3 linked regions of the Caenorhabditis elegans genome follow. The protein of the gene in region 2 purifies or fractionates together with the protein of the main gene of each other region. This does not show direct contact. Each region holds a gene or a part of one and is shown on either strand. Other genes may lie near its edges. The genes, in order: garr-1, F53E10.6 and Y48A6B.3.

Region 1 (3,199 bases), on a different chromosome or scaffold from region 2:
AATTCAAAAAAGTAGGCGTGGCCTGCAGTTTTTCCACTTTCCCATTGTTCAGCTCAAAATTTTACAGCCTCTAATTGGTTGGGCACGGCCACTTTTGAAATTGACCAATAACGAAGCGAGAAACTCGCTCAATTTTTCCGCATACTATGGACGCCTCGGGTCGCGGGAAATTTTCGTTTTCCGCAGACTATGGACGCACCATAATAAATTGAGCCCGTAAATCGACACAAAAGCTACAGTAGCTACTGCAGTAGTCCTTCTAAGAGTTACTGTAGTTTTGGCTACGAGATATTTTGCGCGTCAAGTATGTTGCGCAATACACTCAAAATAAGAAAACTGCGTGGCGTGTACTGCAGAAAACCTCATATTTAGGCCCCGCCTTTTGTGGCGTGGTACAGTATGTACACTGCTGAGATTAGAACAATGAAAATCGCTCAGAATTATTTTTATCTTCAGCCGTTTTGATTGAGAGCTCTATTCTGTTAAAATTTCAAATTTCAAAAGTTAACCTGTATTGCAAAATTTCAATTGCTAATTGCTACTTTACTACTTTCTAGATTTTGTTCTCAAGCTAAATATATAATTTTCCAGTGTAATCTGTCAAATTAATGGCTGGAACTTGGTTGCGGCGATTAAAAAATGTTATAAGAACGATATATCAAAGCGCGCTTAAATGCGAACTCCAAATTTTATTCGCCAAAAATGCTTGCCTCAGAGCGCTGTGTGATTAGTGAAATAAAATAACTAAATTATATGATTATTATAATGTGTATAAAATACCAACAAGTTCAACAAAAAAGTGATCAAAAAATGAGGGCAGATGAGAAAAGGAAAACAAAGAAAATCAACAATTGGTAAAAAAAAAGGATGAAAACAATTGGAACATACAGTTTTTTAGAGAAGAAACAATTATTCGAATTTAGTTCTCTTATTATTCTGTCCTCCGAAACTTCCACCATCGTATGATCGTTTGAAGTCTCCACGTCCGCGACCTCCGAAGTCTCCTCCACGGCCACCACGGAACCCTCCACGGTCTCCGCCTCGGAATCCTCCACGACCACCGCCAAAACCTCCGCGATCCCCGCCTCTGAATCCACCGCCGCCGCCTCTTCCAAAGCCTCCACGACCTCCACGGTCACTGCCACGTCCTCCACGATCCCCACCGCGTCCGCGACCACCTCTTCCACGCCCTCCGCCGGCTTGTGGAAGGAAACGATCAACTGGTAAAAGCTTTCCGGGATCAATGTACAGCTGAGACTCTGGTTCGAATGAAGAGGCTTTTACTCCTTGTGACAATGTGACGGAGAATCCCTGCAGCGAATAAATTTATGATTAATTTTCAATTAAGAGATTACTTACGTTCTCCCCGGGGGATCCAAAAATCTCGTCGATTTTTCCGACTTGTTCCTTATTCTTGAAGTAAATTGGAGCATTGAAATATGGGATTTTTCCACTCGTATTGTTGCAAACAATATCATCTTGGCACTGATGGGAGAAGACACCGACGAGCACAACTTCCTCTGGTGGTCCCTGATCGTAACCTCCACGGCCGCCCCCTCCGAATCCACCGCGTCCTCCACGGAAGCCACCACCTCTGTCACCGCCGCGACCTCCACGGAATCCACCGCCTCCACCGCCACCACGACCACCTCGAAATCCACCACCGCCTCCACGTCCACCACGGAAACTCATTTCTGAAATGTCAAACAATTTTTGAACTTTAAAGTTATTCAAGTGCAAAATAAAATCAAACTGGACATAAAAATATATTTGTTGAGAAATTCAATAGAAAAAATTGGTATTGCAAAACAAAAAGGGGTTTTCTTGTACATAATATTCACAGAAATTTCAATTTTCTAAATATGAGAAAATTAAGAAAATCACAAGAAATTGATTTTCGCCTATTTCGAAGAATTTCATCGCACTATACAAACTTTAGACTCTAAATACAACTTATAAATAACGATTATTTCGTTTTTTGCCAGTTTTTAAACAAGAAAATCAATAAAAACTATTGGAAAACGTTAAAAAATATCGAAAAAAAAATCGAAGAGAAGAGAAAAATGCAGTGAGAAGAGAGGCGTTCGTGGCGAGACCCGTGCCGTTTGAATTAGCGTGCGCCTTTAAGAGACATTTTTTGGATTTTGTTTTTTCGCCGCGAAACCGATCTTTTTCGGTGTTTATCTGCTTTTTCGACAATTTTTATTCATTTTTTCTTGATTTTTCAATACAAATAAACATTTTCCACACGTAGGTTATAAAAATATCCGAAATCTTCCTATTTCTTGGTTGAAAATGCTCATAAATCAGTAGACCAAAATTTTGCTTTTTTGATCAAATGATTTCATATGATCTTCTACTATTGGCGCTGGCGGGTATTATTTTCTAATAAATCAGTCTTGTTTTTTTTAAGTCGAAAATACGCATATTGGCGATTTTCAACGGATTTCTAGCTCTTTTTCAGCTCATTCTTAACGAGGAAATGTAGTCTGTCTTTCTGCTCCTCTCGTATCTCTCGGGTCTGAGCTCTCTGCGTGAACAAATCTGAGCTTTAGCATGAGCTAGTTAATCCCTTAATCCTTTGCGCTCATTTGGCATTCTATTCTATCACACTTCACCTGACAATGTTTAAATTATAAAATTCGCTGAAATTCTCTTCTAATTCGTTCCTCTTCATGAATTTGCAGTTTCCAGGTACATCTACTAACCCCCAATGGTTACTCCTCCTCCAGATGTGCCAAGCACATCGACCAGGTCGATGGCTCGTGACCTTCAAGAGAATCCAAACCGACAACCTGGTGAACCACGTGTGTCTGAACCGTATCACAATTCAATCGTCGAGCGGATTCGCCATATTTTTCGGACGGCTGTATCTTCCAATCGTTGTCGCACCGAGTACCAAAATATCGACCTAGATTGTGCATGTAAGGCACTTCTCTTGAGTTCAAAGCATTTCAATTTTCAAAACTTTCAGATATCACAGACCGAATCATAGCTATCGGTTATCCAGCAACAGGAATCGAAGCGAATTTCCGTAACTCAAAAGTTCAAACTCAACAATTTCTGACCAGGCGGCACGGAAAGGGCAACGTGAAGGTGTTTAACCTGCGCGGTGGATACTACTACGATGCGGATAACTTCGATGGAAATGTTATTTGCTTCGATATGACTGATCATCATCCGCCGAGTCTCGAATTAA
Region 2 (3,464 bases):
TGGTGCATCAAAAACAAATTTGAAAAAAAAAAAGAATTTAAGAATCTGAAACTTGGAAAATCGAATTTTCCAGTTTCACTGGAATTTTCAGTTTCCGGATCGTTTTTTTTCTTCAGAATTCAATTTTTTCAAAATTTACCCCGAACAAAGAAAAACAAAACATTTTGTGGTTAAACCGACATGAGTAAACATTTCGACAAAATCCCCAGTAGAAAAATCTAGAAGCGGGTGTCTGAAAAGGCTGCAAAAAGAATAGAGCGCTGAAACTTTTTCAAATGTGTCATTTTTATTGGTCGAATTAGCGGAGGCTCTGAAAATAAGAAGTTTTGTTTTCAAAAAGCGGGGCCTGATGCCAAGAATTGGAAATTTTACAACGTGGCCTAGAAAAAAAACTCGGCCAGCAATTTTTTTCCCGCTAGCCCACTTGATATCACGGATGTCAGGCTTCCCTCATAAATTGAAATGGAAGAGTTTTTCGAACTAGGCCATTTTGTCTCGGCCATATCTGGGGAAGATTTACGACGCGTTGCGTGTCGCGTCGCGGTTCGGTTTTAGTTGTAAAACTAAATGTATTTGTCCGTGTGGAGTACACGAGTTTCCCACGCGTTGTCCGGCGGGCGATTGTCAATGGAGCGCGAAAAATTCAATGAGGAGGGCCAGAACCCGTGTGATATTTGACCATTTTTCGGACTTAAAAAAACATTTTTAGCGTTCAAATAGGCCTTCTTTTTTATTCGAAAACTGTTTAAAAACAAGCGTTTTAGACGAAAAAACATTTATTTTCCGAAAAAATTAGTGTATGCGCCTTTAAATTCGGGTTACTGTAGACGAGAAACTTTTAGTTATAGGTTATTTTTCTATTTCTTTTTTATGATTTATGCTTAACATTGTTTAATTTTGTGTTTTAAACAAGTTTTAAACTTTTTTAGCAATATTACTACGGTCAACTTAAAGGAACATACGACTATTTCTTTATTTTTCGAAAAGCGCGGCGAGACCCATCCATTGCGATTTAATCGTTTTCTCATGTTTTTTTCGGTCTCAATCACCTCAAAACATATCCAAAAAAAAAGAAGAAGAAATAAAAGTTTATGGAACGAAGCAGCAAAAAAAAATAAAACGACGGGGCGACCGCGACATCCCTAAACAGGGTTAACGAAGCGATAAGTGACTTTTGAGAACAATGCTTGTTTTTTGTTCTTCTTCCTTTAGCTTTTTTTGTCTTACCCCGTTGCACCAAGTTCCGGGGGCACCAAAAATTGACGAAAAAACACATTTTTTAAAAATTCCAGGTTGCAAACGCGCCCCATTGAGAAAACCAGTTCAAACTTGGGAAGGAGGGTTAATATAACAATGAAACCACGAAAATATGATAGAAAATGAAAAATATTTATTGCAAAATATTTATTTTCGATTTCCTTCCTTTTTTTCCGAAACCGGAAACACTAGCGGCAAGTAATATCAAATGACAAAATCAAATGTTGTGGGTGGTTTGGATGGAAATTCAAAAGGAAATTCTTTGCTCTTTTGAACAAGAATACGATGTAAAAGATGTAAAAAAAAATCTTCAAGTCAAGAAAAATGAAGAAAAAAGCAAAAAAAAATTGAAAAAGGCAGCACTTCACCCCCTCCCAACTTGTCAAACGAGCATTTTCTCATTTTGCTCTTCGAGTGGGCGGAGTATAGACGTTTAACTTTTTAAATAAACGTTCAAAAAGCAATTTAACATCCATTCCCGTGTTTTAGCTGATGTTTTTATGTGCTTTTTGAGCTCCGTTCGATTTTCCCAATTTGAATGCCCGCGCATTTCGCATGGCCGTGGACGAGGAAGTGCGGGGGCCGAAGCGGACAATTTTCTCGGTCAAATTCATTTTTCGAAGGTTTTTAATCAATTTCCGCGATTTTTCAGGCTATTTTCTCATGAATTTCCTTAGAATTTTTATATTTTTAAATTCCTCGAATTTTTTAGACCATGTCGACAAAAAACCGCGATCGATTAGTCGTCACAGAAGACTCGGACGACGATAATGAGAGGGAAGAGATGTCATCAGGTATTTTATCGATTTTTCCTCGCTTTAAACACTTATTTTTGAACTGAATTCGTGTATTTTGAGTTTAAAAATAAATAAAAAAAACGTTAATCTGAGCAATTTGAAAGAAAAATCAATAATTTCAGGCGGAGAAAGCGGAGAAGAAGGCCCTTCCTCTGTAGATGGTGGAGCCGGCGACGCCGACGAGACAGTTGCCTTCCCAGCCATTGAGAGGGTGAGAAAACGAAAAAAAAACCCCCGGTTTTTCGTCAAATTAAATTAAAAATTGCGATTTTCAGAGAAAGAAGAAGGTGATCAAGAAGCTGACAAAGAAGGAGCAAAGTCTGAAGAAGAGTGTCAAGGAATACCGGATTAAGTTGGCTCTGGTCAAGCCGGATATCACCACCGACCGGGAGAAGGAACGAAATTTGAGAAGAGTCGCTACAAAGTAGGAAATTGATATTTTTTCGCGGTCAAAAGTCAATTTTCCCATTTTTGCAGAGGAGTCGTCCAGCTCTTCAACGCCGTCTCCGATCGTCAGAAGACAATGTCCGACGCGGTGAAGGAGAAGATGACGGCTCGCGAGAGACGAGAAGCTCGTCAACGATTCGACGGCAAGAACTTTGATTCGGACAGATTCGCGGATTCGGGATATGTTGGGGCGAAGAAAGAAGTGAAGGGAGAGGATGACGACGGAGAGGATCAGATGGATATTGGAGAGGAACAAATCGATACCGGGAATTATAGCGATGAGGATTAACTTTTTTTAAATTTTTTTGTTATCAAATTTTCTTTTTTTTTGTTTTGTTCTGTTCTGTTGTTGTTTTATTCATTAAAAACCCTTCATTTTATCCATTTTATTCATTTTTGCAACAAAAAAAAATTATCTTGGCGCCGGGCAGGTCACCAATCCAGCATTCACGCAGGCTGGATTCACTGCCTTCGATCCGGCGACATCCACGTTACAAATGTAGACACCGGCGTTCCAGTCACAGCAGTTGCGGTAGACGGCCGCCTGGCAGTTGAAGTCCTTTTGTTGGGCACTGGAAATTTTGGTGCGAATTTTAGGAAAGAAATTTGCAGGAATTCGAAATCGGCCTTATTTTTTGTAGGCTTTTCGTATTTTTGGCGAAAAATACACAGAAGAGCGAAAGTTTTGATTTTTTTTCTAGAAAAATAGACAGAAAAACTAACATATTCGCTTTTTTCACTCCATTTTTGTCGAAAAAAAAAATTATAATTTCACAGGATTTCGACGTGTCTCCTTAAAGGCATACATATTTATTCGATTGGGTCTCGACGCGCTAAAAAGTTTATGACGGCTAACTCGACTAATTGGTACAAAATTCGGCTAACGGATAATTCGGCTAATATTAACCGAGTTAGCCGAATCAGCCGATCGGCTAATTCGGCTAATTCGGCTATTATCCGCAC
Region 3 (2,904 bases), on a different chromosome or scaffold from region 2:
AGGTTCCAGCGGCCTCAGCTTCTTTTTCGGCAGCAGCGCCGAGAACCGCTTCTTGTAAACCTTATCGCCGATACTGATGATGTCACATTTGGCGAATCTGCAATATTTTCTGTCGGTTTTCAGAGCAACGAAAAGCTGCTCTACCGTAATCCGACAGCCATCACTTTGGCGGTGACGATGGCTCCGTGGAATGGGAGAAGCTCATTGTCGAGCTGATCTTCGCTGCGGCGAACTTCGATCACTTGCACCAGGTTGTCGGATTTCTGCAGAAAAAACGGAAATTTTCGGGCTCCACGCTTGCGATTTGTGCGAAAATTACATCTCTGAATCCATAAACGTTGACAAAACCGGCTACCGACGCGAAGATCCTTCGATTCGCCTCGTATAATCCCTTCCCCATTCGATATTCACCAATCGCGTCGAGAACCTTGTCGCCGGGCGCCACAAGCGTTTCGGCGAGCATTTTCTGAGCTGAAAGTGGTTTAGAACGGGATTTGCTGTGATTTAGATTGATTTCGAGTAACAAAATTGAGTTTTGGAAATTACCGAGAAAGGATTAAAGAATAAAAAGAAAAAGTCTGTAGATAACAACAATTTAATGAGTGAACAATTGTGGATAAAGATGGTGATACAGATCAAGAAATTTTAAAAAATCAACAACAAAAAAAAAACAGTGAAAACCAGAGAAAAAACAATTTAGGCGGCCTCGACGGTGAGATGACGGAGAGCCTCGGCGACCTCGTCGTACAGCTCCTTGAAGTCCCCACTCGGCTTGACGAAGATCAGAATCGACGGGCGACGATGTCCGACGGCGAGTCCGAGCTGCTCACGAGATGGAATGTAGACGTATGGGATCTCCTTCTCCTCGCAGATTCCCGGAATATGTGAGTACACATCGATTGGAGAGACGTTTCCTGAAAAATTGAACGTTTTAAGGGAAAAATAGATTAAAATCCTACCAGCAAGAATGCAGATTCCCTTCTCGTTTCTGCGGAGCTCCTTCTGCACGTCCTTGATGCCCTCACGGAGGGTTTTATCGCCGGCGGAGGCCTTCTTGATGAGCTTGTACACCTTCTTGGCCAACTTGCGGTTTGCTAGTGGCTGAGCGATTGGGTTTACCTGAAAATAAGACATTTTTCATTAAAAAACCAGCGAAATTAATGATTTACCAGCTCGCAAAGTGCCTGGTACTCGTCCTTCTCGGTGGTTGGTGCGGTGGCGTCTCCATTGGCTTCTGATACGGTCGACTCGTTCATTGTCTCGTCCAGATTGCGCTTGCCCATTTTTTGATTCTGAAAATTCATAAGTTAATCGTGTAAATTAGCCGCAAAGTTCAATTAGCTTTAGGAAAAGAAAAACAATGAAAATGGGATTTTTGCAACAAAAAATCGATAAAAATCCTATTATGGGTGATTACATAGGAATTTTACGATATTTCATGGCTTAAAATTGATAAATATTATATTTCCGAATTTTAAAATTTAATTTTATCGAAAAAAATCGGAGAAAACCCGCAGAAAACTTCGAAAAATACAATAATTATGTGAAAATGCGTCAAAAGAGAAAAAAGAGAAATCGAATCGAAATGTGCAGTGGAGCGCGTTCGCCCACATCCCAGAGAGTGGAGACGCAGACAATTCGTTGGCGGGAATTCAAATTAGAGATTTTCAGGGAAATTCGTTTTGTTGAATTTTCAACTGTTCCTGACTCCGATTTTTGCAAGTTTTGCAGCCTCTCCGCTTCCCCGAAACGCTCAAACTTCAATTTTTACGAGTTATCATCAAAATCGCAACTAAAATATAACAATTTTATGTCCCCGAACCCCCCACCCGCCCCCTACACGGTACTATAAAAGCCAACTTCTTCCAGAATTCAAGCATCAGAAGCATCTTCTTCTTCTTCATCATCATCATGAACGTCTACTCTGTCTGCGTCTTCGCCATCTTGGCTATTTCTTCAGTTTCTGGAATCTTCTTGCCACAAGGAGGAAAGAAGTGCGGAGGAAGCAGTGGATACGGAAGCGGAGTCATCATCGGTGCACCACGTCCACAATAATTTTTGTGCAGTTTCTGTTGATTACTGATAAATATTGAACATTCAAACTCTGTTTTTTGGGCTTATAATCTTGTTAATCGCGCCGCAGGCCTTTCAGTTTTTAGGGCTTAGGCTTAGGCTTAGACTGAGGCTTAGGCCTAGGCTAATTCCTAGGCTTAGGCTTAGATGGAAAATCTATGACCTAATAAAATGGGACTTTGAAGTAGAAAGTTTGAAAAAAAAAAATCCCAAATTGGAGTTAATCTACGGGACTCTAAAGAAGTGCGAGACAAAATTAAAAAATTTCAAATTTATTTTTCTAGTCCAAAATGCTCCTACATATTGAGCAGTTTTCTGTTAGGTAGTTGAGGCTAGGTAGGCAGGCACGGTTTCAGGGCCTCACGAGAGGCAGGCGGAGGCCGCCTTAAGGTCAGGCAGGCAGGCGTTTTGGAACCCCTAACATTAACAATTCGACTTGCGTTGTATGATTTGAGTGTATTTGCAAACTTATATTTTCCGTGCAAATGATCACAAGGTTTTTAAGCATCGAAGCATACATCTTTGATGCTCCCGCTCCCGGAACTAACTTTATCGATGTGGGTGGAATAAAAGCCTTCCGATCACAAACCTTTTCCTCACTTCGGTTCTTCAAATGAACATTTATTGCGTTTTAGTGTTTGCTGTACTCTCCATCTTGTCGGTTGTTGGAAAACCTCGAGCTAACCATATTCGACCTGCCTCAGACCGACATATCATCATGGGATTCGACCTACCATCCAAGTTTGGATAATTCAAACTGAAGCAATTAATTTATGAATAAAAGTTGAACATTGTCTTGAAAATCTTGTTATGAAATTTGGGATAATCTGG

What was found.
Region 1: the proteins of F53E10.6 (region 2) and garr-1 fractionate together in Caenorhabditis elegans (co-fractionation; one large-scale study listed by BioGRID). This does not show direct contact.
Region 3: the proteins of F53E10.6 (region 2) and Y48A6B.3 fractionate together in Caenorhabditis elegans (co-fractionation; one large-scale study listed by BioGRID). This does not show direct contact.

Annotation. Positions count from the first base shown.
Region 1 is NC_003282.8:424,663-427,861, reverse strand, and holds garr-1 (putative H/ACA ribonucleoprotein complex subunit 1-like protein), read right to left. Parts: upstream 1,695-3,199; 5' UTR 1,693-1,694; coding exon 1,360-1,692; intron 1,312-1,359; coding exon 910-1,311; 3' UTR 658-909; downstream 1-657. Other genes in the region: Phosphatidylinositol 3,4,5-trisphosphate 3-phosphatase and dual-specificity protein phosphatase daf-18, read left to right, coding at 2,714-2,924, 2,975-3,199. UniProt on the Caenorhabditis elegans protein: Required for ribosome biogenesis. Part of a complex which catalyzes pseudouridylation of rRNA. This involves the isomerization of uridine such that the ribose is subsequently attached to C5, instead of the normal N1.
Region 2 is NC_003283.11:2,601,569-2,605,032, reverse strand, and holds F53E10.6 (RRP15-like protein), read left to right. Parts: upstream 1-1,969; 5' UTR 1,970-1,972; coding exon 1,973-2,051; intron 2,052-2,176; coding exon 2,177-2,265; intron 2,266-2,329; coding exon 2,330-2,478; intron 2,479-2,531; coding exon 2,532-2,790; 3' UTR 2,791-2,880; downstream 2,881-3,464.
Region 3 is NC_003281.10:11,006,610-11,009,513, reverse strand, and holds Y48A6B.3 (Putative H/ACA ribonucleoprotein complex subunit 2-like protein), read right to left. Parts: upstream 1,293-2,904; 5' UTR 1,284-1,292; coding exon 1,170-1,283; intron 1,120-1,169; coding exon 960-1,119; intron 915-959; coding exon 697-914; 3' UTR 585-696; downstream 1-584. Other genes in the region: exos-1 (Exosome complex component CSL4 homolog), read right to left, coding at 1-97, 145-263, 320-463; fipr-17 (FIP (Fungus-Induced Protein) Related), read left to right, coding at 1,912-2,055. UniProt on the Caenorhabditis elegans protein: Required for ribosome biogenesis. Part of a complex which catalyzes pseudouridylation of rRNA. This involves the isomerization of uridine such that the ribose is subsequently attached to C5, instead of the normal N1.